2 linked regions of the Arabidopsis thaliana genome follow. The protein of the gene in region 1 interacts with the protein of each later gene in a pairwise test. Each region holds a gene or a part of one and is shown on either strand. Other genes may lie near its edges.

Region 1 (4,865 bases):
ATGAAGTAAACCCCTTTTAAAAGCTTTTAAAATCCCTTGTAAATTATCTATAACACTTACTTATGTTTTAAAAATGATTGTAAACTACGCAAACAGTTATGCAAATGCCTTGTAAATCATTCTACGACAGTTAATTAAGCTTTAAAAACGATTGTAAAACTTTATTACCTGTTGTGAGATAGAACTCTCTCAAGGAGAAACAGATAGGTTGAGAATCAACTCTAAACCAAAGAGTTGATCCTTTTGTTTTCACTCTCTGCTGCATGAGATAGTGAAAGATTTTCCCAGAAAATCTGATTCCCTTCTTAGCCTTCATTTTTGGTCCCAATTCAACTAGAAGACCAAGAAACGAACTTCTAATCTTCTGAAATAAACACTCGCCTAAAGCTTCCTCTACTTTACTAACTAAATTCCAATCCAAGTATTGTTGAACGGTTCCCAGTGCAATAGATTCCTCACCTTCTCTGTAGATCTGTTCAGGCAATGTAAGGATTTCACTCTCTGAATCCATCTGCAAAACATGTTATGAAACATCGTCAGATCTACTATAAAATCGACTATAAAATCGATTATAAAAACGGTTACCGTCGGATCTATCGATATCTCTGGGGATTGTTTGCGTCGTAGAGAAATGATCTGAATCCGTCAGCGAAGAACAGATTTATCGGAGAGGAAATTCGTCAGCGATTTTGGGGTTTCTCGGAGAGAAAATTTGTCGGCGATTTTGAGTGAAATCGGAGAGGAAATTCGTTGGCGATTTTGAGTGAAATCGGAGAGGAAATTCGTCGGCAATTTTGAGTGAAATCGGAGAGGAAATTCGCCGGCGATTTTGAGTGAAATCGGATAGGAAAATTCGTTGGCCAAAACGAAGAAGTTTGTGCCAAAACGAATTGTATTGTGAAACGAATGTGAAACCTAATCATTCAGTAAGGGTAAGACAGTCATTTGCCATATTAGAAAGGGTAGTTTTAAAAATGGCCTTCAGGAAAGGACATTTTTACAAAAGGTTATTAGAATAAGGGCAGTTTTGCAAATCTCCCAATTAAATATTAAAGTATTTTGAATCAATGGCATTTTTGTAATTAATCTAAACCGGAAGGATATTTTTTGGTTTATATTTTATTTCTCTTTCCTATTTACGTAAATAACATATTTTTATGTATAAATTCTTAATATTCTGTTTATCCATGTATATATTTTTAACTCACCCTATAGTTTTCTAAGTAATTTAAGTATTTTGGTTACATTTGGTTATATTTTGGTAAAATATAACTAATATATTTTTGGATAAACTAATCAGGCATCTCGGTTAGATTTAGGTATAGATGAGTAAAAAACTCGAACTCGACCTGAACCCAAAAATATTTTGAGTATTTTTGATTATTTTTCAATTCTTACTAAAATAACTAAATCGATCCAAACTCAAACCAAAACCGAACCAAAATTTTAGAATACATGAATGGTTTTTAACTTCATACCTAAATAGATCCGATACTCAAAAAAAAAAAGAACCGAACAGATATGAGTACCCGAATATCTACACCTGCCCAGTATTATTATTATTATTTTTTTTGAACAAACACCGGTACTATTATTTTACCAGCTAATTTTTCTCCCTTTAAGAACGTTTTGGACCTATTGGTCTATTGGATACAAAACTATTGTATTCATTTTAAATTTTTAATGGGTCTTCTTTGTTAATAAAGGCCCATTAAATATACTATCCAGGCCCATTTAGTCCAACTACTTATTACACTGTTGATTAATCGCCGTTTAGATATTTTGCATTGGAGAGAATCTTCACCGTTCAGAAAACTGAAGATCGAAGATCACCAAAACCGGCCAAAAAGTATAGTACACGTCCGAAGATTCTAGATCCATCATGCCATTTGCATTGCATGGCCTAACTCTCGTAGAAAACCCAAACAAATTCTCCCCCACACAAATAATGGGACAAAAACCAAATTAAACCAAATTGTTTCCCTATTGAAGAAAATAAAATCTTCCACAAATTTTATGAATTTTTCATAAAGTCGGCAACTTCACACGAGTCCAGGTCGATTCTTAAAACAATGATCTTTAACCATCCACGTGTCAAAATCCCACCTTAGCTTACCTCATTTGTTCTATTCCAAATACCTATTCTATCCCTTGGATCTTGACTTATATGTTCATAAGAAAGTGTACCAGATAAGGGTATATACGTCATTTACAGTCCAGCTCAACGGTTATAAAATCCTAATTCGTGAGGTTTCTCTGAAGAACAAACACAAAAATGGCGACGGTACCATTGTTCACCCAGTTTCCCTGCAAAACCCTAAATCCAAGCTCATCAAACACTAAACACCAATCGAAATCTCCGATCCTACTACCGATTAACTCAATAAATCGGCGATCGGAGATTGGAGTCTCTGTTCATCGGCCAGATTTCAAAATCCGAGCGACGGACATCGACGACGAATGGGGTCAAGATGGAGTGGAGAGAGTATTTGCCTCATCTTCAACCGTATCGGTAGCAGATAAAGCAATCGAATCCGTGGAGGAGACGGAGAGGCTAAAGAGATCACTAGCGGATTCGTTGTACGGAACAGATCGAGGTTTAAGCGTATCGAGTGATACGAGAGCTGAGATCAGCGAGCTCATCACACAGCTCGAGTCTAAGAACCCTACTCCAGCTCCTAACGAAGCTCTGTTTCTCCTCAACGGCAAATGGATCCTCGCGTAAGTACTTTTAGTTCTGATACTCTCCTAGGCACGGCATGTAATATTAGTTTTGTCCCAAACATTACTCAAACCGGTGATCTCTAAGCTTCGTCTAGGATCTTTACCAATTAAGTTAATGATACTTTAAACTTACCGGTGGAAGTTTAATTTCCCGGTGAAAACTGTTTAGTTCCGTTATGAATGATTTGATTTTGATAGTGAAAAGCAAGTTGTGGTTACAAAGAAGATTTAATTATGAATTTGGATTATGATTCTGTGTGTAGTTATGAGCCTTCGTTTATTTTTAGCCGTTATTGTTATGAATCAAGAACTTAGTTTTTAAGTGTTTATCTCGTGAAGCTACACGTCGTTCGTGGGGTTGTTCCCATTGCTCTCACGAAGAATTGAACCGTTGGTTAAAGTGGATGAGATCTCACAAACCATTGATTCCGATAGCTTCACCGTTCAAAACTCTGTCCGGTTCGCTGGTCCGTTTTCCACAACGTCGTTTAGCACCAACGCTAAGTTTGAAATCCGAAGTCCTAAACGTGTCCAGGTAAATCAAGAATCATCCCCTAAAACCACAAATGGCAAATGCTAATGTTACATAACCTAATTGTTTTTTTTGTTTTGTTTGTTGTAGATTAAGTTCGAGCAAGGTGTTATAGGGACTCCTCAGCTAACGGATTCGATTGAAATACCGGAATCCGTGGAGGTTCTTGGTCAGAAAATCGATCTCAATCCCATTAAAGGTTTACTTACATCAGTCCAAGACACTGCTTCTTCAGTGGCTAGAACCATTTCAAACCAACCACCATTGAAGTTTTCTCTGCCTAGTGACAACACGCAGTCGTGGCTGCTCACAACTTATCTCGACAAGGACCTTCGGATCTCGAGAGGCGATGGTGGAAGCGTCTATGTGCTCATCAAAGAAGGAAGCTCTCTCTTAAACCCTTAAATCATCATAACTCTCATCACATCCATAGTAACATATATACAAGTATAGACCCATCTGTCTATGTTTACTAGTGTTGTAACTGTTATATAGCTTCTTTACCTGTTGGAGAGTTATAAACTTATAATGGATGTTACTCTTGGTATACTGTACTACAATACATATACATAACTACATACTTGAACAGGCCAGTTATGGGTTTGCAACAGCAACACTTAGCATTGGTTCAAATTTGGTATACTAGGAGGGTTTGCATTCTGTATGGCATTCGGTTTTCCGGTTTAGTTTCAGTTCGAACTTTTGACTCGGATTGGATCAGGTTGTCAGCATTTTGGTCTGGTTTGAGTTTACAAAGGGGATACCAAATTGAAACCAAAATTTGTATCTAGTTCTGTAATTTTAATTTCAGTTATTTTTGGTTTATGAATGGTGGTAAATCTATTTATTACTTAGAAAACCGGTTTGTTACAAACCAGGTATCTTACACAAACATTTGAAAGAAACAACTGATCTTTGTTCACTCTTAGCTACGAAACAAATCAGCACAAACCTCGTAAAAGATCTCGAGAATGGCAGACCGATATTCGCGAGGATTCATCGATAGATAGTACTCCAAGAGGCTTCTAAGTTCATCTGCTTCTTTGATCTTGTTTGCTACAATCATCTCAACCATAGAGTCTCTAAAATCCTTTCTTGGATCAAAAGAACATTTCTCCATCGCCATCATGACAATGAACTTAGTGCTACTGATACTACCCTCACTTCTTCTTCTTCTTCTTCTCATCTTTTGTTGTCTTATCTTCTCTTGATGTGTGGCTTCTTGTGTCTCTCTGATCATCTGCTCTAGCTTCTCCTGAACCATGTAGTGTGCTAGACTAGAGAGCGAACCGTGATGGTCTGAAAATCTTGAACTCTTGTCTGCTTCCACCGAGGAAGAAGAAGAAATGCTGAGTCTTGCTTTGTTGCTGCAACACAAAGCTCTGCAGACTCTTGCTTCTTTTGTTTGGTGTTGTGATTGTTTGTTATGCTTCTCTGCTTTTTCTTCTGCTCTGTTTATGAGTTTCATGTTGAAAGTTAAGTCACATTATAATCAGGTTTTGAGGATTTTAGATGTTTGTAAACGCAAATAGAAAAGAGTTCTAATTAAAACATTTATGTGTAAATTGAAAATGTGGGGCTTGTTCATCATGATTATGTCTTGATCATA
Region 2 (5,224 bases), on another chromosome or scaffold:
AAGATCATCCAAAAGGTAAGAACCCTAAACAACAATTTCTGGAAATCGAGTAACCTAACGCTAGGAGTGAATAAAGAAGCTTATTTGTTTGATACCTTTGGTCGTAAATCAAGTGAAGCTGAAGAAGGTCTGAAAATAGAAGCCATGGAAGAGAATCTTGGATTAGGCTCTCAACACAGGAGCAAGAGTTTTTTTTTGTCTTTAAAGTAATGATTTCATGTTTTTTATTTTCTTTATTGGCCAAGAAAATTAAGGAGAAAAACAAAACCTGAGCCACTCAGCCACATAATCACTGGGAAAATCAATTTCGTATTGTCTCGAAAAATATAATTGTTTCAACGACAACAAAAAATCAAACATGCGGTGTGGTGGCAAAAGTCAAACGTTTATTTAATGAAAGTTTATCAGAGAATCGATGGGCCTAGCCCAGTCCAATAGGTGATTCACGTCTCACTATTTTTGCAGCTTCACAAAAATGGTAAGTTGGTAACTTACTATTTCGAGCGAAAATAACTCAGTAATAACTTCCAGATTCGTCAAATTTCTCTTACCTTGTAATGAAGTTTAGATGTTTTAGCTTTATGTATAAAAATTTAAGAATATGGTCTAATTTTATATAATTTTCTTATTATCATTTTGTATTTGATATCATATTGACAAAATTTAACAAATAGATATTAGTTGTACTTCTATGTGACCGCCACTTTATTCAATACTACCTTTTAAGTTTTAACAGATCCGTGTAGCAACTGATCATCTCAAAATATGTGACACATAGTATACTATACAATATGAGCTGGTTTTGTTTTTTATTTTATATCGAAAGATATTTTACTTTATCTGACAGCTGCGAGAGATCCTAAAAAAAATGAATTAACTTTAAAGAAATTGCATGCGTCTATCTATCTACGTATATCTCAAAAATAAAAATAAAATCAAGGTCACATGACTCATATCCAGTGAATAAAAAATATTCATGAAATCGTAAATAAATAAATAAAAACAGAAATTCATATATACGTTTTTAGTTATATAACTATACGATTGGTTCAGTGTATTTGTTGCCCAACCAAAGCTACTTTCACTTCACATATCATTACATGGTCCAATGATTATGGAACACGTATTATTATTTTTGTTTAAAAACAAGTAAATAAATAAAACAGACACCAAATAAAAAAGGAAACACAAAGATATTTACGGAAGTTAAAAGAGAGGTGTTGTCTATGTCAGTGCAATGAACCTCTTCGGCTCATCTTTTCCCGCCATCCCAACTAACAGATCTCTCACCGTACACGCCATCCTCTTCACCAAATCTAATGACTTTCTCTCTGTCTACGTGGCGATCATCCGGTCTGTTTTCCGACAATAATGGGACCCATTTGATTGTTATTTCGAAAATGATTTTATTTTTCTTCAATATTGTTTTTTTCTTCAATATTGTTTTGGAAGTAAAAAGAATCATCTGTTGACAACACAACACTTCTTGCCTTCTCGAGTTTGATTCTCCTCCTTTCTGTTTTTGGTATCCACCCGATTGTCATTATTTTATTTTGAACTCTAGAACCAAAAATATCAGAGCAAGCTCTCTAGTCAGTAAATTTTGTAATTATTATAGTACCTCATTTTTATTAGTAGCATTAATGTACTAGTGTGGTCAGTGTAGATGAATATATTTTCTACTAAACTAATAAAAATTGTATCATAATTTGTATATTTTTTGGTGTTTTCATCTTTTACTATAAAATATATTTTTGTGACATATGGCATGTTACACTAAACAAAAAATAAAATAAAAGAAATTTGTTTTTGTATAAAATAAGTAAATTACGTTTTTTGTCGACCAATTTTGATTAAAGCTCAAAAGAAAAGAGCAATTCCTAAGAGATATTATTTTTATGTGAAATAAGTAAATTACTCATTATGTAAAAAGTTTGGATTTATCTTAAATCTAATTTCATAACGTTTAATGCAAGATATTTTGGTAAAATAGGAAACGTATAAAACATCTGTATTCAAAACTTCTATAAAGATACCCAATAATAATGGAGGGGTGACACGATAGTAAATAGAATAAGAAATAAAATTTAATCAAGTCAAAATAAAATAAATACCCTTTGTTTTTGTTTCCACAATTCCTTAAGTCTTTCTAATTACTTTGTTGTTCACTAAAACATCTCACATTGTGCTATTTTTTTTAATAAATAAAGACCTCTCTCTTTAAAACTGATTATCCCCTAAACTATTTGTTTGTGAGAAAGAAAGAGAAAAAAAAGTTTTTTTGGTTGGAAATTAATTGAGGGAGAGAGAGAGTTCAGAATCTCTAAATGGCTGAAACGAATTGCCCAGAATCCAGGAAACTCTGATTTTAGTCCTTTTTTCCTCGGGAAAACGTTTGCTTTTTCTTTTTTGTGTGTGTTTGGTTCTTTAATTGACAAATCTCTCTCTATCTGTTTCATGTGCTAGCTAAGGTTGTCTTCACTTTCCTCTAATGAGTCATGAGTTTCTTGTCTTCATCTTCATCTAATAAAGTTAACAACACTCTCATCAATTTTTATTATGTTCAAATCTGTCTGACTTTTCGTTCTTTTCTCTTACACCCAAGCGTTTTAACAATCTAACATCTGTCTCTTTGAATACTTAGATATCCAACTTCAATTTCTCTCCTTTCTCTTCCCAACTTTGATTCCTGATTTGGGTTTTTGTTAAAGTTCAAGAAAGTTCTTTTTTCTTTTTTTTTCCTCCTTTAATGGACGAAGTTTCTCCTGCAGTCGCTGTTCCATTCAGACCATTCACTGACCCTCACGCCGGACTTAGAGGCTATTGCAACGGTGAATCTAGGGTTACTTTACCGGAAAGTTCTTGTTCTGGCGACGGAGCTATGAAAGATTCTTCCTTTGAGATCAATACAAGACAAGATTCATTGACATCATCATCATCTGCTATGGCAGGTGTGGATATCTCCGCCGGAGATGAAATCAACGGTTCAGATGAGTTTGATCCGAGATCGATGAATCAGAGTGAGAAGAAAGTACTTAGTAGAACAGAGAGTAGAAGTCTGTTTGAGTTCAAGTGTGTTCCTTTATATGGAGTGACTTCGATTTGTGGTAGACGACCAGAGATGGAAGATTCTGTCTCAACGATTCCTAGATTCCTTCAAGTTTCTTCTAGTTCGTTGCTTGATGGTCGAGTCACTAATGGATTTAATCCTCACTTGAGTGCTCATTTCTTTGGTGTTTACGATGGCCATGGCGGTTCTCAGGTAATGAATCGATTTGGTTTCGATATGATATGATCGGAAACTGCAAAAACTTGGTTTTTGACATTTGTTTTTGTGTGTTTAGGTAGCGAATTATTGTCGTGAGAGGATGCATCTGGCTTTGACGGAGGAGATAGTGAAGGAGAAACCGGAGTTTTGTGACGGTGACACGTGGCAAGAGAAGTGGAAGAAGGCTTTGTTCAACTCTTTTATGAGAGTTGACTCGGAGATTGAAACTGTGGCTCATGCTCCGGAAACTGTTGGGTCTACCTCGGTGGTTGCGGTTGTCTTTCCGACTCACATCTTTGTCGCGAATTGCGGCGACTCTAGGGCGGTTTTGTGTCGCGGCAAAACGCCACTCGCGTTGTCGGTTGATCACAAAGTAAGTATAGATGTTTCTATGAATGAATTAGTACAATCATATATTCATTAGGACTTGCGGTTTTTTGTTATGGTGTTACCAATCATAGCATGTTTCTATAGATTAGTTAATGTACTTATAGCGTTTGGGTCTACATTTATGTGTAGCCGGATAGGGATGATGAAGCGGCGAGGATAGAAGCTGCCGGTGGGAAAGTAATCCGGTGGAACGGGGCTCGTGTATTTGGTGTTCTCGCAATGTCAAGATCCATTGGTAATTATTTAACTTTCTCTTGATAATGATCCATGAATTTGGTTCTTTTAGTTGTTTCCTTACATTACAACCCGTCGCGAACAGGCGATAGATACCTTAAACCGTCAGTAATTCCGGATCCAGAAGTGACTTCAGTGCGGCGAGTAAAAGAAGATGATTGTCTCATCTTAGCAAGTGATGGTCTTTGGGATGTAATGACAAACGAAGAAGTGTGCGATTTGGCTCGGAAACGGATTTTACTATGGCATAAGAAGAACGCGATGGCCGGAGAGGCTTTGCTTCCGGCGGAGAAAAGAGGAGAAGGAAAAGATCCTGCAGCAATGTCCGCGGCAGAGTATTTGTCGAAGATGGCTTTGCAAAAAGGAAGCAAAGACAATATAAGTGTGGTAGTGGTTGATTTGAAGGGAATAAGGAAATTCAAGAGCAAATCCTTGAATTGAAAAAGAAGGTTTGGAAGAAAAGTGAAAAAAAAAGTTTTGATGGTGGGTAAAAATTCTCTTTAGTGAAAAAAGAAAGATAAAACAACAGGTAATAATTACATTGTAATATTAATTTCCTGCTTAAATTTGTTATTTACTTTCTTAGTCTTCCCACCATTATTTAATCTTTTTATATTTATTTTACTAACATGATATATATAATGTACATGGGAATAGTGTAACTTCCAAACAAAAAGCCCCCTTGTATTTTTTTTTATCTTGGGGTTAGTTGTAATAACACTACATTCGTCTACGTAAATATTTAGTGTTATTATTTGATGTTTCATAACTTCTCTTTGTGTGTGTGTTTTCGTTAGAGTGATATAGTTTCAATAGTATTGACATCATTTTTTCATTACCAAAAATTACATTAGTCTTCATCACCATAATTTTTTCATTTTGTTTAAATCTACTAAACCAACCAGAATATGGGATGGTTGAATAAACGTCACAATAATTTGTAAATCCATGTGAATGTTTAGATTGTAGGTGATTGAAGACAAAATAATACATACTTATATCACAAGTTAATTGTAAAGTGGTGTGTAAGGCAGCTTTTATCCCCAAGAAAAATCATCTTTTTATCACATCAACATTATTCAACAATTACACAAAAAGGTAAATATCATATTTAAATGTGAAAGAATATAAATAAAATTAGTCTTGTGAAAAATTTAATCTCTTCGAATAACATTGTTTTATTATTCTTATTTCATAAAAAAGGAAAGAAGTAAGCGTTGGTTAGTAAAAGAGTGTTTTTTACTTTCTCAAGAGTTTCAATTTCTTCTTCTTCAGCTTTATACGCATTTAAAGCGCCGACGAAGTTGAACACTGAAGAAGAAAAAGAGGAGA

The links.
Region 2: the proteins of FIB (region 1) and ABI2 interact in binary tests that used the Arabidopsis thaliana proteins (3 or more experiments, as listed by UniProt).

Annotation. Positions count from the first base shown.
Region 1 is NC_003075.7:1,929,886-1,934,750, forward strand, and holds FIB (fibrillin), read left to right. Parts: upstream 1-1,997; 5' UTR 1,998-2,275; coding exon 2,276-2,721; intron 2,722-3,063; coding exon 3,064-3,259; intron 3,260-3,346; coding exon 3,347-3,661; 3' UTR 3,662-4,065; downstream 4,066-4,865. Other genes in the region: AT4G04025 (transcription repressor), read right to left, coding at 4,124-4,138, 4,209-4,724. UniProt on the Arabidopsis thaliana protein: Probably involved in light/cold stress-related jasmonate (JA) biosynthesis. Contributes to the protection of photosystem II (PSII) against light stress.
Region 2 is NC_003076.8:23,084,971-23,090,194, forward strand, and holds ABI2 (Protein phosphatase 2C family protein), read left to right. Parts: upstream 1-2,151; 5' UTR 2,152-2,749; coding exon 2,750-3,262; intron 3,263-3,344; coding exon 3,345-3,641; intron 3,642-3,787; coding exon 3,788-3,893; coding exon of another isoform or gene 3,894-3,916; exon of another isoform or gene 3,917-3,977; coding exon 3,978-4,333; 3' UTR 4,334-4,658; downstream 4,659-5,224. Other genes in the region: AT5G57040 (Lactoylglutathione lyase / glyoxalase I family protein), read right to left, coding at 96-146. UniProt on the Arabidopsis thaliana protein: Repressor of the abscisic acid (ABA) signaling pathway that regulates numerous ABA responses, such as stomatal closure, osmotic water permeability of the plasma membrane (Pos), high light stress, response to glucose, seed germination and inhibition of vegetative growth.